2 linked regions of the Yarrowia lipolytica genome follow. The protein of the gene in region 1 interacts with the protein of each later gene in a pairwise test. Links are inferred from orthologs where the notes say so. Each region holds a gene or a part of one and is shown in the gene's direction. Other genes may lie near its edges.

The links. The genes of interacting proteins can lie anywhere in the genome.
Region 2: the proteins of YALI1_D30097g (region 1) and YALI1_E21983g interact in binary tests that used the Saccharomyces cerevisiae proteins (3 or more experiments, as listed by UniProt). The link is inferred for Yarrowia lipolytica from reciprocal best matches to the Saccharomyces cerevisiae genes SNF2 and HMT1.

What each region holds. Positions count from the first base shown.
Region 1 is NC_090773.1:3,005,162-3,017,196, forward strand, and holds YALI1_D30097g (uncharacterized protein), read left to right. Parts: upstream 1-4,531; coding exon 4,532-4,729; intron 4,730-5,410; coding exon 5,411-10,195; downstream 10,196-12,035. Other genes in the region: YALI1_D30058g (uncharacterized protein), read right to left, coding at 1-582; YALI1_D30161g (uncharacterized protein), read left to right, coding at 10,882-10,895, 11,230-12,035. UniProt on the Saccharomyces cerevisiae protein: Involved in transcriptional activation. Catalytic component of the SWI/SNF complex, an ATP-dependent chromatin-remodeling complex, which is required for the positive and negative regulation of gene expression of a large number of genes.
Region 2 is NC_090774.1:2,195,104-2,203,028, reverse strand, and holds YALI1_E21983g (uncharacterized protein), read left to right. Parts: upstream 1-4,711; coding exon 4,712-5,692; downstream 5,693-7,925. Other genes in the region: YALI1_E22029g (uncharacterized protein), read left to right, coding at 76-1,443; YALI1_E22004g (uncharacterized protein), read right to left, coding at 1,559-2,623; YALI1_E21962g (uncharacterized protein), read left to right, coding at 6,763-7,925. UniProt on the Saccharomyces cerevisiae protein: S-adenosyl-L-methionine-dependent protein-arginine N-methyltransferase that catalyzes both the mono- and asymmetric (type I) dimethylation of the guanidino nitrogens of arginine residues in a variety of RNA-binding proteins such as heterogeneous nuclear ribonucleoproteins (hnRNPs) and small nuclear ribonucleoproteins (snRNPs).

The sequences.
Region 1 (12,035 bases):
CTCTTCAACAGCCACCTCGTCCGACTCCTGGGGCATCTCGTCCTCCATGGTCGACGATCCCTCGGCCAATTCCAGCTCGTCTCTGTCGAAAAATCGAAAAGAAGCGGTTGATTCAGCCCGAGGTCGAAACTGCGGCGATTGAAGCACCTCATTGGACGCTCTATGAGATAGAGACATGGACGGACGCCGCGAATCGTCTCCAAGGGACCCACGTGAACGGCTCAGAGACCGTGACATGGATCGCCGTCGGTTCAGGTGCTGATATGACGAATATGACGTGGGAAACGCATCACTAGGAGGGCCTGAATATATCTCGCCCGAGTCCGTCGGATGAGCCAAATAGTCGTAGCGAGAAGAAGACATGGTCGAAGACATGGACGCTATCGAGTCTCCGCGTCTTCGGCCCCGGACAGGGCTTTGGGCAACTTCTGAAACATCCGTGTCGGAGCTGATTCCGTTGGAGACGGCGGTCTGGGGCTGGGAAGAATCCGATTCGATCCCCTCGTTTTCCGCCCGATGTGAGCGCGCAGCAGCCTTGGCTCTCGCTCGTTTTTTCACCCGCGACGAGTTCTTCTTGCCCATTTGTTGTGTGTAGTTAAGTGAGTGATGTTCTGTGATGACATGAAATTTAAAAAGCCATACCGCATGTCCAAAGTGTAACCTACTCTGTAGCTATCCTTTGTACGAGTAGAGAGGTTGAAGATACCCTAGTGAAGGGCTAGAGGTATAAATGTGACATTGCAGGTCGTCGGTTAGATATCGTCTATTCGTTTGTGACACTGCCTAACAGGCTACTTGTACTGTGCCGCCGTCAGCATCATTCACTAAGAAACCACAATCAATGTTGCACTTGCATAGGCGATTGTACTAAGAGCAGTGTGACGGTGTGCATAAAGTCCAATTTTAAGCCAACGTTACTATGAAAGTACGGCTGTAAATTAGTTCAATGAATTCGTCACGTGTTTTTCTATAGTTGTAAACTCTCCCCATGCCTCTCCAATTACTATAACATCCCCCGTACCTCTCATTTTCGGTCTCCACCCACCTCAATCATATTACCATCTCGCTTAAAGTTAAACGCGGGGAGGGTCCGACATACAGGCAAGGGAAGAGCAGAAGTAAAGTGTGAAAAAAGCGATGACCCGGGTGGCATTTCGTTGTTTTTAAAGACGAAATCTAATTATACAACCTCCAATGTCACATTTACGTCTTTGACCCCGAGAAAACCGGCTGAAGCGACCCACATTGCCCTTTCCCATTCGCCGCAACCAAATGCAGCCATGGTTCGAAACGGTAATCGTAATCGCTTATTCGAGCAACTCTGGCACAGTATGTAAGAGTGAGACATGGAACGGCAGAAAAGGGGGATCCAAAACGTGGTTCTGCTGACTAATTTTGGTCGTGAAGTGTTGCTGTAGCTGATTATCTAAGACCCGAGTGGTGGTCATGTGACCTGGCCTCCCCGCCTAACTTTCTCCTCTTACTAATATCTCTGCTTGGAAAGCGTCTGTAATCTTGGGCCTCGCATTGGCGATAATTTTTGGAGCTTATTTTAGCTGGTCGGATAAGAGCGGAGCGTGGACCGTGGAATGTGTAAACCTGTGAACGAAAGACCAAAGGTCTAGAATGGACAGCTACATGCCGTCTTATTGGAGCGGTAGACGATACGTCCATGCAAATTGTGCCCTTTCTTCTGGACCTGAATCCGGCTTTTTCTATCAAACTCCGCCCTAACTCCACCTAACTCCACAGCCAGACATGCGATTGCAATTCTAAGCGCAGTGTCGTGGTCCTCGTGGAGATCTGCACCGGATGGAGCTTTTTCTGTTCTTATTCTGCCAGTTTTCGACCAATTATCCTAGCACTTCATAAGCAACTGAAAACCTGCATTCTACCTCTTCTGGCGGAGGTCCGAAGGCTGCTTTGATGGGACGATGCACCATGTCCGTATTCGGGCCCACTTTAGGCAGTGTTGTAAAATGCCATTGGAGTTGTGGGATTAGTAAGATTAGTAACATCGGAGCTAGTGAGTTATATAGAGCAACTGAGGAGGTCTCAAGTGTGTACTTGTAGACAAATGTGACCACACATGACCCTCCTGGACCAACCTCTGACCATGTCTCATTGTCTCAGGGACAGAGTGTAATTGTAGGATATTTGGGGGGACGGGGGAGCGAAGGAGTTGCTATGGAATGAAAAGTATTGGAGTGGGAGAAGAGTGGAGAGGATGAAGATGATGAACGGGGCTTCCTCTTCCTTTAAGGGCTATCTTTTTCCATGCCAGTTGGCAATATGTGCTCATAGGCCAGACGTGTGGTTTCTCACCTCACACCTCGCGCGCGTGTCGCAGAGAAAGGCTCCGAGTTTTGTGAAATGGGCGGATATCGACGTAACAAAAACACATTTTCTTGGCATTCGCGCCATTTCAAGCTCATCTGTCTCTTCAGAATTGCGGTATCTCGTCTTCAAACTGATTTGAAGACCCCGCCCAAAAGTCGAAAATGACGGTTTGCAAATTAAGAGTAAGTTGCCATAGTCTGCATTGTGTCAGAGTTAGTTTGAGGGGGGAGGTGTTGGGGGACCATATGGCTAGTTGTACGGACCAGCTGCGGCGAAATAGGCGGCATAACCGATCTCCTCTCGGTCACGTGGTCATTTTGACGTCCCGTTGGTCGCAATCGGACCCTGTTTCCAGAATTCTACTTCGTCATATGTCCCCCATTTATCGTGTCCACCTTGGTTAGAGTTAAGGCTATACAGAGGTGATGGCGTACAAGTGTTAGTACTTGTCGCAAGTTTGAGCTGAAAAAGGCCGATTGAAAAGGGGACTAAGACGGGCCCCAACGTGCCATAGACTATTGGAAACACACCCACGCGGCCCAACCGCTCTCCACACACTTGTGCATCGGTCTGGCTGTTGCCTCATCCACACAACTCTGTGCACCTTTAGCTCGGATCTACCATAGATCGAAAGCTGCGAAAATACATGCCTTAGGCCGGGAGATGCGAGGCGACCGAGGCTGGTCTTTGTGCGGATTTGGAGTCGGAAATGGGGAGCGGAAATGAGCGTTTACAAGAGAATACGGCGACTTTCTGACGACACCAAGTCGCTCAATCCGGCCTTGAACACGGTACGGTACCGGTATCAAGACACCTTCCACCCCACTCCACCGCCTTGTCGCTTGGTATACAAGTTTACTGGTACATACTGTATGGTGTCTCTGCAACACCCTGCTGTTGTTGACCTTACATAGTCCCCCTCTGTATCCCCAAGCTTAGGAGAGATGGAGGGTGAAGCAAGCGGCAACGTTGGCATACAGTACGAGCGAGTAGAAAAAGTCGATGGAAAAAACAAGATGGTCAAAAAAAAAGAAGAGATGACCATGACGAGTACAAAACAACGACAAAACAAGAAACAAAAGAGCAGTCCAGTTGGGGCTTCCACTCTTACCAACGCCCTCTGTTCGGACTTCCGCCCGCTCCTCTCCCGCCCCTCTTCCCCCTACTCATACCGCTCTCAGCTATTCGCCTCGTCCATAAGTGTGAGGTGCTGTAGCGCTTGCTCCAAACTGCATGCACACATCGCGTGATTTACGGAGGATCCGAAAAGCTGGGGGAGCGAGATATTGCCACATGAGCGGTACCATTCGAACCGTCGTGGCGCGCTGGCTATTCCGCTCTACTTTTTGTCCCCAGGCGACCCCTATGCCGCCCACAGCATCGACATTTGCCCTCACACCACCCCTTCCCCAGGGAATACCCACCCTGACACCCGTGAGAGTTTATGGGGCTTTTTGGCAGCACCTTAAAATGATAGGCCGGACAAAGGTAGAACTGAGAAGACTCGTGGGAAACACAAGGCGGGAAACAACAGCGAGCTGGACTCATATACATACTCGCGGGAGACGACCACACAGACACAAGGACAGGGACACTGGCGCCACCCCAACAGGCAACCCGGTCCCCATCGTAGGGTGCGTTTTCTCGTCGTCATGCGCTCGCCACAGCTCCTAACTCTAAAAAAAAGCAAAACACAAGGACAAGAATCCACACTCACATGAAGAGACAGAAGCCAGGTTTTATCTTATCTTTGGCTAAATTGGGCAGAGGCAAAAATACCGGTTGGTAGTCCCCTCTTTGGCCTGCAAAAGAGACACGTTAGTTGTCGCTGGGTGGGTCGCTACAACACGTCGTTGTCCCAACGGCCTCCCATTGGCTGGACCTCCACACCCCCAGTTCGGGAAGTGTACCCTGCGCCCTGCTTACCCAATACGTAGTTTGCCACACTAGGGAGTCGTCCGCCGGCGCAAAAGACTGAATCCCCAACCCTCTGGTGCGCCCGCTCCCCCCCCATCCACGCACTACGCTCCACACAGCATAGCTACCGAGGTTACAAAGAGTGACAAGCCGGAAAGCATTTCGAGCGCTCAGCACATCACGTGACACGCGTTAGTGAGTAGCAGCACGCAGCACACGCAACACGCTCCACGACAGGACGACCTCGTCTAACACAGTGAACTCATACCCCAACATGCAAAGCGACATGGGCATGGGTCCCCAGGGATTCATGGACGGAATGATGGACTCGGGCATGGGCCAGATGGACGCGCAGAGCGATCTGGCTACGCCATCGCCTAGCTTTGGCAACAGGCAGGGTCCGGGAACTCCGATGATGGATATGGCGGTGCAGCCGCCGCGAAATATGGAGGATATGAACAGGATTTATGCGGTGAGTATGAGCAGCGCGGGCAGAGCGAGCCAAGCGAGCAGGGCGAGCAGCGAAGTTGCCAGTCTCTCAGTACGCGATAACGTCAACGCTATCAGTCTCGTCAAGTGCACGATGGGACATGATGAAACTGGACAGAAAGATGCACGTGGACGACGTGATGGACGACCTTAATCTATCGCGTGTGAATGATGTCAGCAGTATATCGATCCCACTGACGTCGTCGACACATCATCGATGATGATGAGTTACCCACGACGGGCACTTCCAGACGCGATCTCAGACACACCTCGAGAGACGATGATGACGTTGACAATTATAACCAACGACGCGACTATAGCTGTTATAGTGATCATGGATGTCGATGCATCATGTTCGGTGCAACGATGTCATCACAACAATGACGGTGCCGCGTTGACGTGTCAAGGACTGTTGTTCACGGGTGTCGTCGACGTCGTCAATGATGGCACAGGCATGATCATCGACGTGATGATTCATTGGCACTACCAAATATCTCTGTGTTTTCAGCAGCTAAAGGCACCGTTGTCGTAGGCGTTGTTGACACACCAGTCGTGTCTATAGTCTACAGATGATGTCCGACGTCATATCGTCGTTTTCCACCGTGACTGCCTCACTCAATGGTCTTCTCGTGACGTATGACTACTCGTTCCTCTACTAACCCAGCGCTACAAAGAACTCCAGACCCGTCTCGGAGCCAACGCCAGCTCTTCCCAAGAGTTCGTCGAGCTCTCCAAAATTCTCAAAGCGTACTCGCAACGCCAGCATATGTTCCGCCAGCAGCAACAGCAGCAGCAACAGCAGCAGCACCGGATGAAGGCCATGGGCCAGCCGCAGCAGATGCAGCAGGGCACACCCCAGGGCAACATGACGCCCCAGATGGGCACTCCTCAATTCCCCTCGCCTGGCCAACCCCAGCAGCCCCAGCAACAGCGCAAACCCTCCTCTGCAGGCATGTACCAGAACTCCAACAGCAGCATGCAGAGTATGAACGGCTCTCCCGTTCCGCCCCACAATCAGCCCGGTGTCGTGGGTGCCCAGGGCATGCCCCGGCAGTCGCCCACACCCCACCTGGAGCCACAGCAACAGAACTCACCATACACACCTGACATGCTCATGCAGATGAAGAACCAGCTCATGGCGTACCGACAGCTGAGCAAGGGTGCTGTCATTCCCCCTCAGGTGCTTCAGGCGCTGTTCAGACCCACTGGCCAGCCTCCTCAGATGACTCAGCCCCAGCAGCAGCCTCCGCAGCAGCAGCAGCAACCTCAGATGACTCAGCAACAACAACAGCAGCCCCCGATGCAGCAGCCTTCCATGGGTCAACCCCCGATGGCTCAGCAGATGCAGTCGCCCGCTGGCATTCCTCAGAGCCCCATGTTCCAGAACGCCAACCGGTCGCAGTCACCGGCCGTGTCTTCCGATACAAACTCTCCTGGCATGGGCAAGCGACGAACTCCCTCTCAGACTGGCCTGAGACGATCGTCCAAACAGGAGATCGACGGAGTGACTCCCATCGCAGCCCCCGCTGTCCCTCCCCCTCCTCCAGCTGCTCCAGAAACCATTTCTGGCTACAAGGATCCCTGTCTCCTTTTGGAGGGAACCTTTTCTTTCGATGATATCACCACTCCCGCGTTCCTGGACAAGCGTCGAACCTTTATTCCATCAATTATGCCCCGTGGTATGGACGCCGAGGTGATCAAAGATCTGTACGAGGAGCAGGTTAACAAGCAGATTAGTGATCGGATTACTGAGCTCAAGGAAGGTGATCTAGATGTGCCAGAGCTTGACGAGGAAGTCGACGAGGAGTCTGCTGACTCAACTGGTTCCGATGACACCACAGCACTAGACAACGCAATCGAGCTCAAATCACTGCAGTTAATCGACCACCAAAAGGCCTGGAGAGGCGATCTCCTTGCTGACACGTTCTACTTCAACTCTGTCGGTCTGGATCCCTACAACAAGATCTACTTCACACGTATGAAGAAGACTTCGCTCCAGGAAGCGTTCATGACCGAACAGTTTGGCACGCAGCAGCTCATGGAGCGCCAGCGACACGAGGTGCGAGTGCGGTCCGAGCAGCTCATCCACATCTGCAAGCACGCGCAGGACACAATCAACGCATCTCGTTCAAGACGACTACGACAGGCTCGTGTCGCCAAGGCATGTCAGAACTATCACGTGTTCACTGAGCGTGAGGAGCAGAAGCGAATGGAGCGAAACGCCAAGCAGCGACTGCAGGCTCTGCGGGCCAACGACGAGGAAGCCTACATCAAGCTGCTTGACCAGACCAAGGACACGCGTATCACAGATCTACTGCGACAGACCAATACGTTCCTGGACTCGCTTGCGCAGGCTGTCAAGGACCAGCAGAAGAGCAACAACAGCAACGGCAATCACGTCGACTTTGGTCCTCAACAAGATATGGATGACGAGGATCCCGACAACCAGAAGAAGGCCGACTACTATGCGGTTGCTCATCGAATCCAGGAACCCGTCAGCAAACAGCCCGATATGCTTGTGGGTGGTCAGCTTAAGGAATATCAGATCAAGGGTCTTCAGTGGATGCTCTCTCTATTCAACAACAACCTGAACGGTATCTTGGCCGATGAGATGGGTCTTGGAAAGACAATCCAGACGATTTCGCTCATTGCCTATCTCATTGAGACCAAGAAGATTCCTGGACCTTACCTGGTCATTGTCCCACTCTCCACGCTCACCAACTGGACGCTCGAGTTCGAAAAGTGGGCGCCTGCTATCAAAAAGCTCGTCTATAAAGGCCCCCCCATGGCCCGTAAGGCGCAGCAGAACGCTATTCGAGCCGGAGACTTCCAGGTACTGCTCACGACCTATGAGTACATCATCAAGGACCGGCCTGTGCTGTCTCGAATCAAGTGGGTCCACATGATTATTGATGAGGGTCATCGAATGAAGAATGCGCAGTCCAAGCTGTCGTCCACCCTGACTCAGTACTACCACACCCGGTACCGACTCATTCTGACAGGTACTCCTCTCCAGAACTCGCTTCCCGAGCTGTGGGCCCTGCTCAACTTTGTGCTGCCCAAGATTTTCAACTCGGTCAAGTCGTTTGACGAGTGGTTCAATACCCCCTTTGCGTCTACTGGTGGCCAGGACAAGATGGATCTTTCCGAAGAAGAGACTTTGCTGATCATCAAACGTCTCCATAAAGTCCTCCGACCATTCCTTCTGCGACGTCTCAAGAAGGATGTGGCCAAGGATCTGCCTGACAAGGTGGAAAAGGTGCTCAAGTGCAAGATGAGCGCTCTACAGTCCAAGCTGTACCAGCAGATGATCAAACACAATGTCTTGTTTATTGGTGAGGGTGTTCAGGGTGCTACAAAGACCGGATTGAAGGGTTTAAACAACCAGGTCATGCAGCTACGAAAGATTTGCAATCATCCCTTTGTGTTCGAGGAGGTTGAAGATCTGGTGAACCCCAACCGACTGACAAACGATAACCTGTGGCGAACTGCAGGTAAATTCGAGCTCCTGGACCGAATTCTGCCCAAGTTCAAGGCTGCAGGTCACCGTATTCTCATGTTTTTCCAGATGACGCAGATCATGGATATTATGGAAGATTTCATGCGGCTCAAGGGCTGGCAATACCTTCGACTTGATGGTGGAACAAAGTCCGAGGACCGATCCGGTCTGCTTGGGAAGTTTAATGCCCCCGACTCGCCCTACTTTGCCTTCCTGCTGTCCACTCGAGCCGGAGGTCTTGGTCTGAACTTGCAGACGGCCGACACAGTCATCATCTACGACACTGACTGGAACCCCCATCAGGATCTGCAGGCTCAGGACCGTGCGCACCGAATCGGTCAGACAAAGGAAGTGCGAATCCTGCGGCTTATCACCGAAGACTCTGTTGAAGAAAATATTCTCGAGAGGGCGCACAAGAAGCTGGATATCGACGGCAAGGTCATTCAGGCCGGTAAGTTTGATAACAAGTCGACAGCAGAGGAGCAGGAGGCGTTCCTGCGAGGTCTGCTTGAGCGGGAGGAAAAGCAGAAGGAAAAGGGCGACGATGACGTGGACGACGAGGAGCTCAACGAGATTCTGGCTAGAAATGACGAGGAGCGAATCTTGTTTGCGCAGCTCGATGCGGAACGACACGCCACGTCCCAGTATGGCAAGGGCAAGATTGAAAGACTTTTCACTGAAGAGGAGCTGCCAGAGGCGTATAAGCGGGACATCAAGCTGGCTGTGGAGCCCATCAACACAGACCAATTTGGCCGTGGAGCCCGAGAGCGAAAGGTCTTGCACTACGACGATGGACTCACCGAGGAGCAGTGGCTCGAGGCTATCGACAATGACGTTGACATGGATGAGACCATTGCCAAGAAGCGGGCCGACAACAAGCGACGGCAGGCCAAGAAGAGTGGTGCGGCCGCTGCAGCTGCGACTGCGTCTCCCCTGGACGAGCTGGAGGACCTTGATTCTCCCGGAGTCAAGCGAAAGCGGTCTCGAAAGCAGACCAAGGATCCGATGATGCAGGTGGAGGACGAGCAGCCCAAGAAGAAGGCTCGGGGAAGGGGTAGACCCAAGGACACACTGACCCCCGAGGCTCGAAAGGCGCTGCTGGGCATCATGAAGACGCTGTACAACCACGTGTTGAATGTGGAGGACTCGACTGGCCGGGCCCGAATCAATCTGTTTTTGGAGCTACCCAGCAAGACGGACTACCCAGACTACTACATTCTCATTAAGCAGCCGATTTCGTGCGCCCAGATCTCGAAGCGAATCCAGAGCTCGTACTACCAGAGCCTGGATCAGTTTCTTGAGGAGTTTGCCCTCATGTTTGCCAACGCGAAGCAATATAATGAGGAGGGCTCGTTTGTGTACGAGGATGCAGTGGCGCTGCATAACGCGTTGTTGGACAAGGCCAGCACAATGGAGGGTGTGGAAAGTACGAGGGCGCTGAAGGAGGAGGGCCAGACTCAGTCTGGTACACAGTCTGGCCCCTCGTCTGCTTCTGGCCAGTCGGGCCAGTCTTCCGGACAGTCCCAGCAGGTGTCTCAGCCTCAGATTCCTCAGCAGGTGTCTCAGGTAGCCCAACAGGTGCCTGCTCCTGCTCCTACACCCCAAGTTGTGTCCCAGGCTGTTCAGCAGCCTCCTCCCCAGGCTGTTCAACCCGTGCAAGCCCAGCCAGCTGCACCTTCTCAGGCGATGCATCTGCCCCCCATGGACATGATGAATCTCCACAACGGCCACGGACAGCAGCAGCCGCAACAGCCAGCTGCACCCGCCCCCGGAATGCACCTCGGCGACATGAACTCTCCCGGGTTCGACTCCCGGTTCGACTTGCACCACGAACTCGGAGGCGGTATCCAGGAGGATATGCATCTGGACGAGTTTACTGACAACTACTTGGGCGATTTCACTACCATGGGAGGGTCCTTTGGAGTGGGTGACGATTATAAACACGAGTGATAGAGAATGTATTATTAGGATTATGAGCTGTGGACTGAAGACAGGAGCCGTAGTGAGTACCCACTCTGCTGTAGACCTGAGCAGTAGTTCTGCTATGCATGCATCGTAGCTATGTGAGTTTGACACTCGTCTGTGTGAGCGTCACCGAGTGAGCTGTAAGGATGAACATCAAGCGGAGAGGAGCGTGAAGTGTGCCAGGGTGCCAGAGTGCCTTGAGGCATCTTCGGGGATAAGGGAGGAGGTTATCAGGCGTCATCTTTCACTCAAAAATATCTTTTGTCAGACTAGCCTGGGCAATTTTTTAAGCTAAGTAAACCCAAGCAGTGCCCATATTTTGATCTAACTGAAATCAAGAAGATTTTATTTTTAATAGTAGGAAATTAGTTGAGATGAATTGGTGACTTGATAGAGCTCAGTCACCCGACAAAGCTCATAATCTCATTCCAGGGAAAAGGGATCCAGAGTTACCTGCACGTCGTGTTTATTTTTACCGCCCGTATTTTCGTATCTTCTACCGCTGACTCAGTGCTCCACTCCATCCTCTTATCATTGTCTCATGGACTCCGGTCAAGCTCTGCCTGCATGGAACGGCATTCCGGGGTGCATATATGAAGGACACCAAAGCCCAACACGTTTACCTGTGTACCACGAAACTTGCCATCAGCACCATACCGCCTACTGACAACATGTGTGGATCTGAGTGAGTACAATTGGCAGGAATGAGCGGTCTGACGTTGGCAGGGCAGAAATAAGTTGGCCAGTGACATACAGAGAGAGAGAGAGAGAGAGAGAGAGAGAGAGAGAGAGAGAGAGAGAGAGAGAGAGAATTGAATCACTCTCTGCCACCAGATCAGAGGGACTAAGGCACTACCACAAGCTACTGCTGTTTCTTCTTTTCTGTCTGAATCGATTCAGCGGTATTCTGCTTCTGTTATGGGACCAGTGGTAGCTACTCGATCTTGTGTCTCCAACTCCGTTAAGCCAATCTTCCGTCTCCAGCTTTGGGATGAATCGGTCAATGAGCGCTAACACAGCCCCTCTTCTACGTCCCGGGTGCTCCTACCCACAGACTTCACGCCCAAGTTCTACCACCTGACTCTGGAGCCTGACTTTACCACCTTCAAGTACAATGGCCAATGCGACATTTCTCTCGAAGTTAACACTCCCACCGACACCCTCACTGTCAACTCGATTGATCAGGAGATCTCCCGAGTTGCCATTGAAGAAATTGGAGAGGCGACCGTCACCTACGACAAAGATGCCGAAACGGTCACGTTTAAGTTCCCCAAGATTATTGATCTCGACGAGGTCAAGGTCAAAATCACATTTGTCGGCATTCTCAACGACCTGCTCAACGGTTTCTACAAGAGCACATACACGGATGAGGCGGGAAACAAAAAATACCTCGCCACTACCCACATGGAGCCTGCTTCTTGCCGACGAGCATTCCCCTGTTTCGATGAGCCTGCACTCAAGGCGGTTTTTAACATCACCCTAATTGCAGACAAGAATCTCACGTGTCTCTCCAACATGGCTGTGCGAAACGAGGAGCCCCATGATGGCGGCCAAAAAAAGAAAGTGACGTTCAAACCCACTCCGCTCATGAGCACCTACCTCGTGGCGTTTGTGGTGGGTGAGCTCGACTACGTCGAGGACACTACCAACTACAGACTTCCTGTGCGAGTCTACGCCACTCCTGGCAAGGCACACAAGGGCAAGTTTGCCGCCGAATACGGAGCCAAGACGCTCACATACTTTGAGAAGATCTTTGGCATTGATGTGCCTGTCGAAAAGATTGATCTCATTGGCATTCCCGATTTTGCCATTGGAGCGATGGAGA
Region 2 (7,925 bases), on another chromosome or scaffold:
TGGTCATGCATGCTTATCACCAGCATTTGGTACGACTTGATCCCAGCAACCTCCTAATTCCTTCATTCAAACGATATGGAAAAATACACAGTGACCGAAGAGTACGCCAAGGACATGGTTGGCCGGTTGCTCGGCGGGTTCGACAAGGAGACCGTCGCCCAGCTGGTGGATCAGGGCATGAAGAAAACCGATCCTCTGGAGGTGCACAGCTACTTTGTGGAGCTTCTGGGCGAGTCTGAGCCGGTGTTCCGGTTTGTGGAGGAGTTCAACCGCAAGCGGTTCTCGTCCAAGAAGCTGGAGAAGTCCAAGGCTGAAAAAATGGCCAAGAGCGAGCCCCCCAAGAAGAAGGCATCGTGGGCCACCAGAACGGCAGGAGAAAAGGTGGAGGAGGAGAAACAGAAGAAGGAAAAGACACCTCGCAACCGGCTGGCCGGCGTGGGTAAGGGCGGAGCAACAACTTCCGAACTGCTGGATCTCAAGCCCAAGACCAAGGCCAAAAACAAAATCAAGGTGGATTCGATTGCCGAAATCGACCAGGCATTACGGGACCTGGAGCTGGTGGAACATGGAGATGTGCGCAAAGACGGCACCACGGCGCGCGCAAAATGCGACTGCATGGCTTCCCGACACCCGTTGCTGGAGGTTGCCCCCAACTGCATGAACTGTGGCAAGATCCATTGCCTGAAGGAAGGGCTAGGGCCGTGCACATTCTGTGGCACTCCTCTGTTGAGTGCGGAGGAGCGCAATGAAATTTCGTCGGTTTTGTACCAACAAAAGGAGGACATTCGGTCTGTGAACGCCCCCAAACAGGCGGTGCCCAAAAAGAAACAAAAGGCCATCAAGTACAACTTATCTAATGCTGGGGGGCGGGCTGCGCAGGAAGAGGCCATCAAACAGATGGAGGAGGAGAACCGGCAGGCGCAGGAGGCCAAGGAGAAGGAGCTTCAGCAGGCCAAGGAGCGGCTTGACACCCTGATGGCGTTCCAGGACAGTCAGGCGGAGAGAACCCGGATCATCGACAACGTGGGCGACTTTGAACTGCCCTCGGCAGGTGTCAACCAGTGGGCTTCGGCGACAGAGAGGGCGTTGCAGCTCAAGAAGCAGCAGCGGCAAATGGCCAAGATGGAGGAACGAGACGCTCGGAAAAAGGGCAAGAAGCATGTCATTTCGCTGGGTCTGGATGGCAAGATCCGAGAGCAGGAAATGGAGGACGATAGCACAGATGACGAGGAGTTGAGAGAACTTGAGTCCAAGATCAAGTCTGAAAAGCAAGAGGTGGCGGAGCTGAACTCGCAGAACGTGTGGAACCCGGCCATGGCTGACTCCAAGTTGAAGCGCGTCAAGTACGTGTCTAGAGGAGATGTTCAGGAGCGACGGGTTGAGGAGAGGGGCATTATTGACATTGACGGTGAGGATGATGAAGAGCGGCTCATGCGGTTGTAGGGATAGGTAAATACTCGTAATCTATATCATTCATATTCAGGTAATATCTACAAAGTGTTAGTTATACAAGTAATTGCTCTCTTGTTTTCGTTCAGAATAAATAATTACATGGCGCCTACAGAATAGGCAGAAAGTTGCCGACAATCATCATGGGAATGTCAAACACGTCTCGTTTGATGGTCAGCGAACACGCCGTGTTGACCACCTCGCCTGAGGGTTTGGTGAGGCCAAACGTGGTGGTAATCGTGCCTCTGCTGTCTCCAAACGCCAGCTCGGAGAAGACGTCAAAGTACTGTACCACAGACTTGTTGTCCATGCACTCGATGATGAACTGACTCAGCAAATCTGCCTGCGATCGCATCGTCAGCACACAAAACTCCTTTCCAACGGCAGCTATCTGGCCGGTTCGTCTCCAGAGCACCGTGGGCGTTCCACTTAACGAAATGTACTTTTCAAACTCCAGCAGCGTGCGTTGGAAGCACTTTTCCATGAACACAAGATCTTCGTACTGCAGGGTCTGGGTGGTGGCTATGAACGACGGCCGGTAGAAGGCCATGCTTTTGACCACGTCCAGTAGCTCCTTTTTCTCGAACCGGCTTTTGAGATACGCAATCAGCGCATGGAACCCCGTTGTGTACGCATAGGGCTTTGTTATACTGGTGTAGATGTCTGTCGGCGATCCCTGGGGCGTTCCCGCAGTTTGGCTGCCTTCTTCCTCCATGTGAAGACCCGGAATCGACATGGGAGACGGCATATGGGGACTTTGGGCGGGAAAGAAGTCTGGAGGTGAAGACGTGTCTCCGCGACCCAGAATGTTGGACAAGATGGAGTATTCCAAGTTGGCGGCAGACGAGCCGAAGTCCGTGTCCGGAGGGCCCATTCCATGCTGCACCGCCTGCTGTTGCTGTTGCTGTTGCTGCTGTTTCTGTTGCGTCGCTTGTCCTGGAGGCGTCGGAGGGAGTCCCACCAAGTACTTTGCCTGTTTCCGCTTGCCGTCCACGCACTGGTCTCCCATGTTTTTCTTGATGCAGCGAGCGCACGGGCGGCCCTCGTCACAGGTCAGATGGGCCTTCTGGCAATGCAGACAGGCCCGAGCGGTCTTTCGCCGCTTTTTAGGAGCCGGAGGAGGAGGTGGACTCTCCTGTTTGGCCGGACCTCGCAGTATGGGGTAGAAGGACATGGGTCACGTGAGAGAGAAAATGAGTAGGTCGGGGGGGGGGCCGGGGCCGATGAAGCGATGAGACGGTGGTTGAAAAGGCCTCTGTGGAAGCGCTTACGCGTGTTTTCTGGTGTCCGCTGGATCGTTCTCAAACTGTGCTGAATAGCCCTGGTGTAATGTCCCGCGGAGTTGAATTTTATTGGATGAAAGTTGTTCCGTTTCCCCGCAGGAGTCTAAATCCCCCTCTAGTCGACAAGCCCAAGAGCCTCTTGGCGCACGGGGAAGGAGATATATAGGGCATGTGGAGAGAGACAGTATAATCAGCTACAAGTTTCTACCAAAAAATTGTGACCAAAAGTCGAGCAAACAACAAGGTATTTTTTTGCCTTTGGTCAAGCGACCGTGGGAGACGGATAGGGTTCAGGAAAAACTAGACGCACAAATCACGTGCTGTGACTGAGCCACAGGGCGGATATTTCGAGGCATATTCTATCGCACTAGCGGGATGGATGGTTGAGCGTCGGGCTGACCTGGTCCTATGGTGCAGTGGGGTCACGTGACGTGGGTTTGGGTCGTCGTTTGTTGGGTCACGTGGCAGGTGTTTACCATTTTTGGACACTTTCAAAGAATATAATATCATTAATATCATTAATATCATTAATATGATTTTGGACTTTTATTTCATTTTGGACTTTCTTTTTTTTTTTTCTCTTTTTTTTTGACTACAAGTAGCTTATTCATTGGACTACATTCTCAATTGGACTTCATTGCCAACAGGACTCTTCCCCATGGGAATAATACATGACTAAAACTGTACGTCTTAGTCATCCATTGACGGTTCGCGAATCGCAAAATATTCTGGTCGCCGTCGGACTCTGTTGAGTCCAGAATGGCGTTGTAGTCTAGTCTCACTTTGGTTGGGGTTGGATACGGCGCGGAACAACTAACCTCCAGCATCAACAATGGCTTGAAGCATGATCTGGTAAGAATGGGACCATTGTAGCAGCTGTCTCTTGGCAGAGAGTCCCGTCTAGACTGCTTTGATTGGCTGATTGGCTACCAAGCTGGTTACCATTCGACTGTCGACTGTCGACTGTTGACTCCGCCAGGTATATGCCGGTTTACGCTACGAGTAGTGTTGGTGGCTGTTCGGTAAACCAGCCTGTGCCTTACCGGCCGTTGTGGGCGCTATTCGAGCTACGGCCTAGATCAATTCCGGGGAGCATTGAGCGAATACTACGCCATGGGCTGAAAGAGCAACGAGCGAGACTCAACTGGCCTAACAGTCATTGAACTGACTGGATACCGACGAGAGACCCGAAGGAGAATTGCCGGCGATAGTAAGGCTGAAACAAGTTGCAGGTAGGGAAGGGTGACTATCGAGCCGAGTCGAGTCGAGTCGGGTCGAGTTCGGGTTTGGTACGGGCCGACTCCTCAGTCGGTATGAGTTCATTAATGGTCATAGGTGAAACTGTAGCTCCAAGAGATGCTGTCACCAAAAAGGATACCTTTTTTGAAGGTATAAACTAGGAGAACTCACCATCAAGTCCATCGGAAATACCTGTTTCCCCTTACCTGGTCATAACCTGTCCGTACACTGGTCCACGATAACCATCAATGTCACATTACCGCTACGACAAACTTCACAGTATAAAGAAGGAGATGAGGAAATCTCATAATAAACACCCGTAATTGATACGGGTTAATCAGCACGAGAGGTGATTCCCCAACCACCAGTCTGTCGATCAACAATCAATTTCTTGCCGTTTGTTCCACCACCAAATTCGCGATATTCGTCATTCTCGACTCCTACAGGGTTCATGCGAGTGTTGTGAAAAATATCCCATGGTTTGAGCTAAACAGCACGGTCAGGAGGGGGTTATGGTGGTCAGATTTGGACCACGGATATTTCGTTGTGGTTTTTGAAGCCGTAGAAATTGATTCCACAAACAAAAACCGTCATTTTCAAGCCGCAACACCCTCTTTCGGTCTCTGACCCACCTGCATGGTTGGTCGATAAAGTTATCGTGCATAGCTGGGAAATTTTTATAAAGAAGCTTTCTTCTTCTCACCACCATTGTTGACCCGACCTCTTACCGCACACCCACAATGTCCCTCCCATACTCCGAGCAGCACTACTTTTCGTCGTACGACCACTTTGGCATCCATGAGGAGATGCTCAAGGACGAGTCGCGAACTCTGTCGTACAAGCACGCAATTCTGCGAAACCGAGACCTGTTCAAGGACAAGATTGTGCTGGATGTGGGCTGTGGAACCGGCATTCTGTCCATGTTTGCTGCGCAGGCCGGTGCCAAGCATGTCATGGGCGTGGACATGTCCAACATCATCGAGATGGCCCGAAAGATTGTCGATCTTAACGGACTCAGCGACAAGATTACCCTGATCCAGGGCAAGATGGAGGAGATCACCCTACCCTACCAGAAGGTGGACATTATCATCTCCGAGTGGATGGGCTACTTCCTGCTCTACGAATCCATGCTGGACACGGTGCTGTACGCCCGAGACAAGTACCTGGTCCCCGGAGGTATTATCATGCCCGACAAGTCCACCATCTACGCCGCTCTTTTGGAGGACGGCGAGTACAAGGACGAAAAGGTGTCCTTCTGGGACGACGTCTACGGCTTTGACTACTCGCCCTTCAAGGACATTGTGCTGTCCGAGCCTCTGGTCGACACCGTGGACCTCCGACACGTCATCTCCAACCCCTGCCAGGTGTTTGAGATCGATCTGTACACCGTCAAGGTGGAGGATCTGGCCTTCAAGGCCAACTTTGACCTCAAGGCCCGGGTCAACGACACTGCCCACGCTATTCTGTGTTGGTTCGACATTGAGTTCAACAAGCTCACCACCCCCGTCAAGTTCTCCACCGGCCCCCATGCCAAGTACACTCACTGGAAGCAGACTGTCTTCTACATTGACGGCCAGGTGTCTCTGCGAGCCGGTGACGAGGTGACTGGATCCATTGACTGCCGACCCAACGAGAAGAACAACCGAGATCTGGACATTACTCTGGAGTGGGAGTGCAAGGCTGAGAACAAGGGCGGCAAGCGATTTTACTGCATGAAATAAGCTGGCACGACGACTACTGTAGATCCCACTGTCGGCTCACCGAGTGGCAAGCCAAGCTGTGGCTTTCACTGGAACGGTCTAACAAAAAATTATGTATAGAATGTTAATTGTATTTTTTATGACGACTAACAAGCGGCGAGTACAAGTGAGAGAGATGTGGGTGCTAGGAGACCATTTCTGCTCTATTTCTGCTTTGCAGTACAAATCCTACACCCATCTAGTACATACCAACTAAATCTTACTTTTCTTCCACTAATCACACTCAACAACGAGACGCTGAAATGAAGATATCTCTGATTATTGTGGTGTAGAGATTCTCAAAAGTCATTATTACTTATCAAGTTGCTGATCGACTATCCACACAGCAACTTTCCTAGTCTCCACCGTTTCTACAACCCCGTAAATGAACCCCCAGCTGAATTTTCATCCCCAGTAATTTCAACTAACTTCCTCAACTAGATTGTTAAGATTAGAAGCAGTTCTGTCATCGTCTTGACTCCAACAACCGTGTCTCAGTTCGATTTCCGGTTGGAAAATTTTGATCCGAAAAATTAACGAGCCAATCAATCACACCGAGAAACGAAAGAAAAAGACGGCGGTCACGTGACCCGAGCCAAGGGGGGGAAGGGGCGGGGGGGGAGCCGGGGGGGGTGGGTCACGTGTTTGGACTGTATGGGCTCCGGCTAGGTCACGTGTTTGGATTGATAATGGTAGCTTCTTGTACTAAACTTGTACAGGTCTCCATGGGTGTAATTAGGATTACGCGCATGTACGGCGTTTTGCGTGTATTTTTCATCCCACCATCAGATTGCCTATCGTGTGATGTCTGGGGGGTTGAAAAAATGGCAAGAAAAGCAGCTGAAAAAAGTGCTGATAAGTAGCATTATATATATACATATATATATCTGTGTGTCATGTTGCCCCAAACTCTGGTTGGGTCGTTTCACGTGCACAATCACGTCCTCACCTCCATACAATAATCTGTACTGGTGGTGCTACTGTCGACATATGCACAACCTCCCAGCGGCGTTTCTCTCCACCATCACGACCTGCGCCCTCTCAACATCGACATGTCGGGCAACAACTCACCAATAAACGCGCAGCTGTTCCCCGATGCTCGCGACGTGACCAAGGACGCGCTTCAGACATTTGTGGAGCTCCCGGAGTGCACGTACATGAAGGGTCTGGGCTCGTCTCAGCAGGCGGAAGTCATGGCGTGTGACTGTAAGCCCGGGCCCACGGCGTGTGACGAGGACAGCGGGTGCATCAACCGACTCACTTCCATCGAGTGTGTTCGGTGCTGCAAGGGCTGTCAGAACAAACGGTTCCAGGGCAAAAAATACGCATCGGTGGACGTGATCAGCACAGAAAAGAAGGGGTTTGGACTGCGGGCCACCAAGGACATCGCCGCCGGCGAATTTGTCTACGAGTACGTGGGCGAGGTGATTGACGAGCCGACCTTCAAGGAGCGAACGGCCATCTACACGACCCAGGGCGTCAAGCATTTCTACTTTATGATGCTGCAAAAGGGCGAGTTCATCGACGCTACCGCCAAGGGAGGACTGGGTCGGTTCTGCAACCATTCGTGCGCGCCTAATGGCCACGTGGAAAAGTGGGTCGTGGGCAAACGGCTCAGAATGGGCATTTTCGCATCTCGACACATTCAAAGGGGAGAAGAGGTCACGTTTGACTACAACGTGGACCGGTACGGAGCCGAGGCCCAGGCGTGCTACTGCGGCGAGAAAAACTGTGTCGGCTTTCTCGGCGGAAAAACGCAGACGGAAAGCGCCAGCAAGGTCTCCGGCACCTTGACCGCTGCTCTGGGTCTCACGTCCAGAGATATCAACGCCATTCTGAGAGGCAAAAAGTCGGCCGAGGACTTGCGACCCCGAGACCTGACCGTGCAGGACGTGTCCAAGGTCATGGCGTCTCTCATGATGAACCAGGAAGCCTGGCAGGTCAACCTCATGCTGCAGCGTATTGCTCTGTGCACAGACACGTCCGTCCAGGCAGCAGTCATGAAGATGCATGGATACCAGATCTTCGCGCAGATTCTGACCGCCACGTGGGGCGACAATCCTCTTGGGCTGGACGACAGCGACCGCGTGAACGTGACGCTGATGCTGCTGCGAGTCCTGCAAAAGTGGCCGCGAATCACAAAGAACAAAATCTCCAGTTCGCAGATTGAAAACGTGGTCAAGAGCCTGACGTCCAACGACAACAGTGACATTGC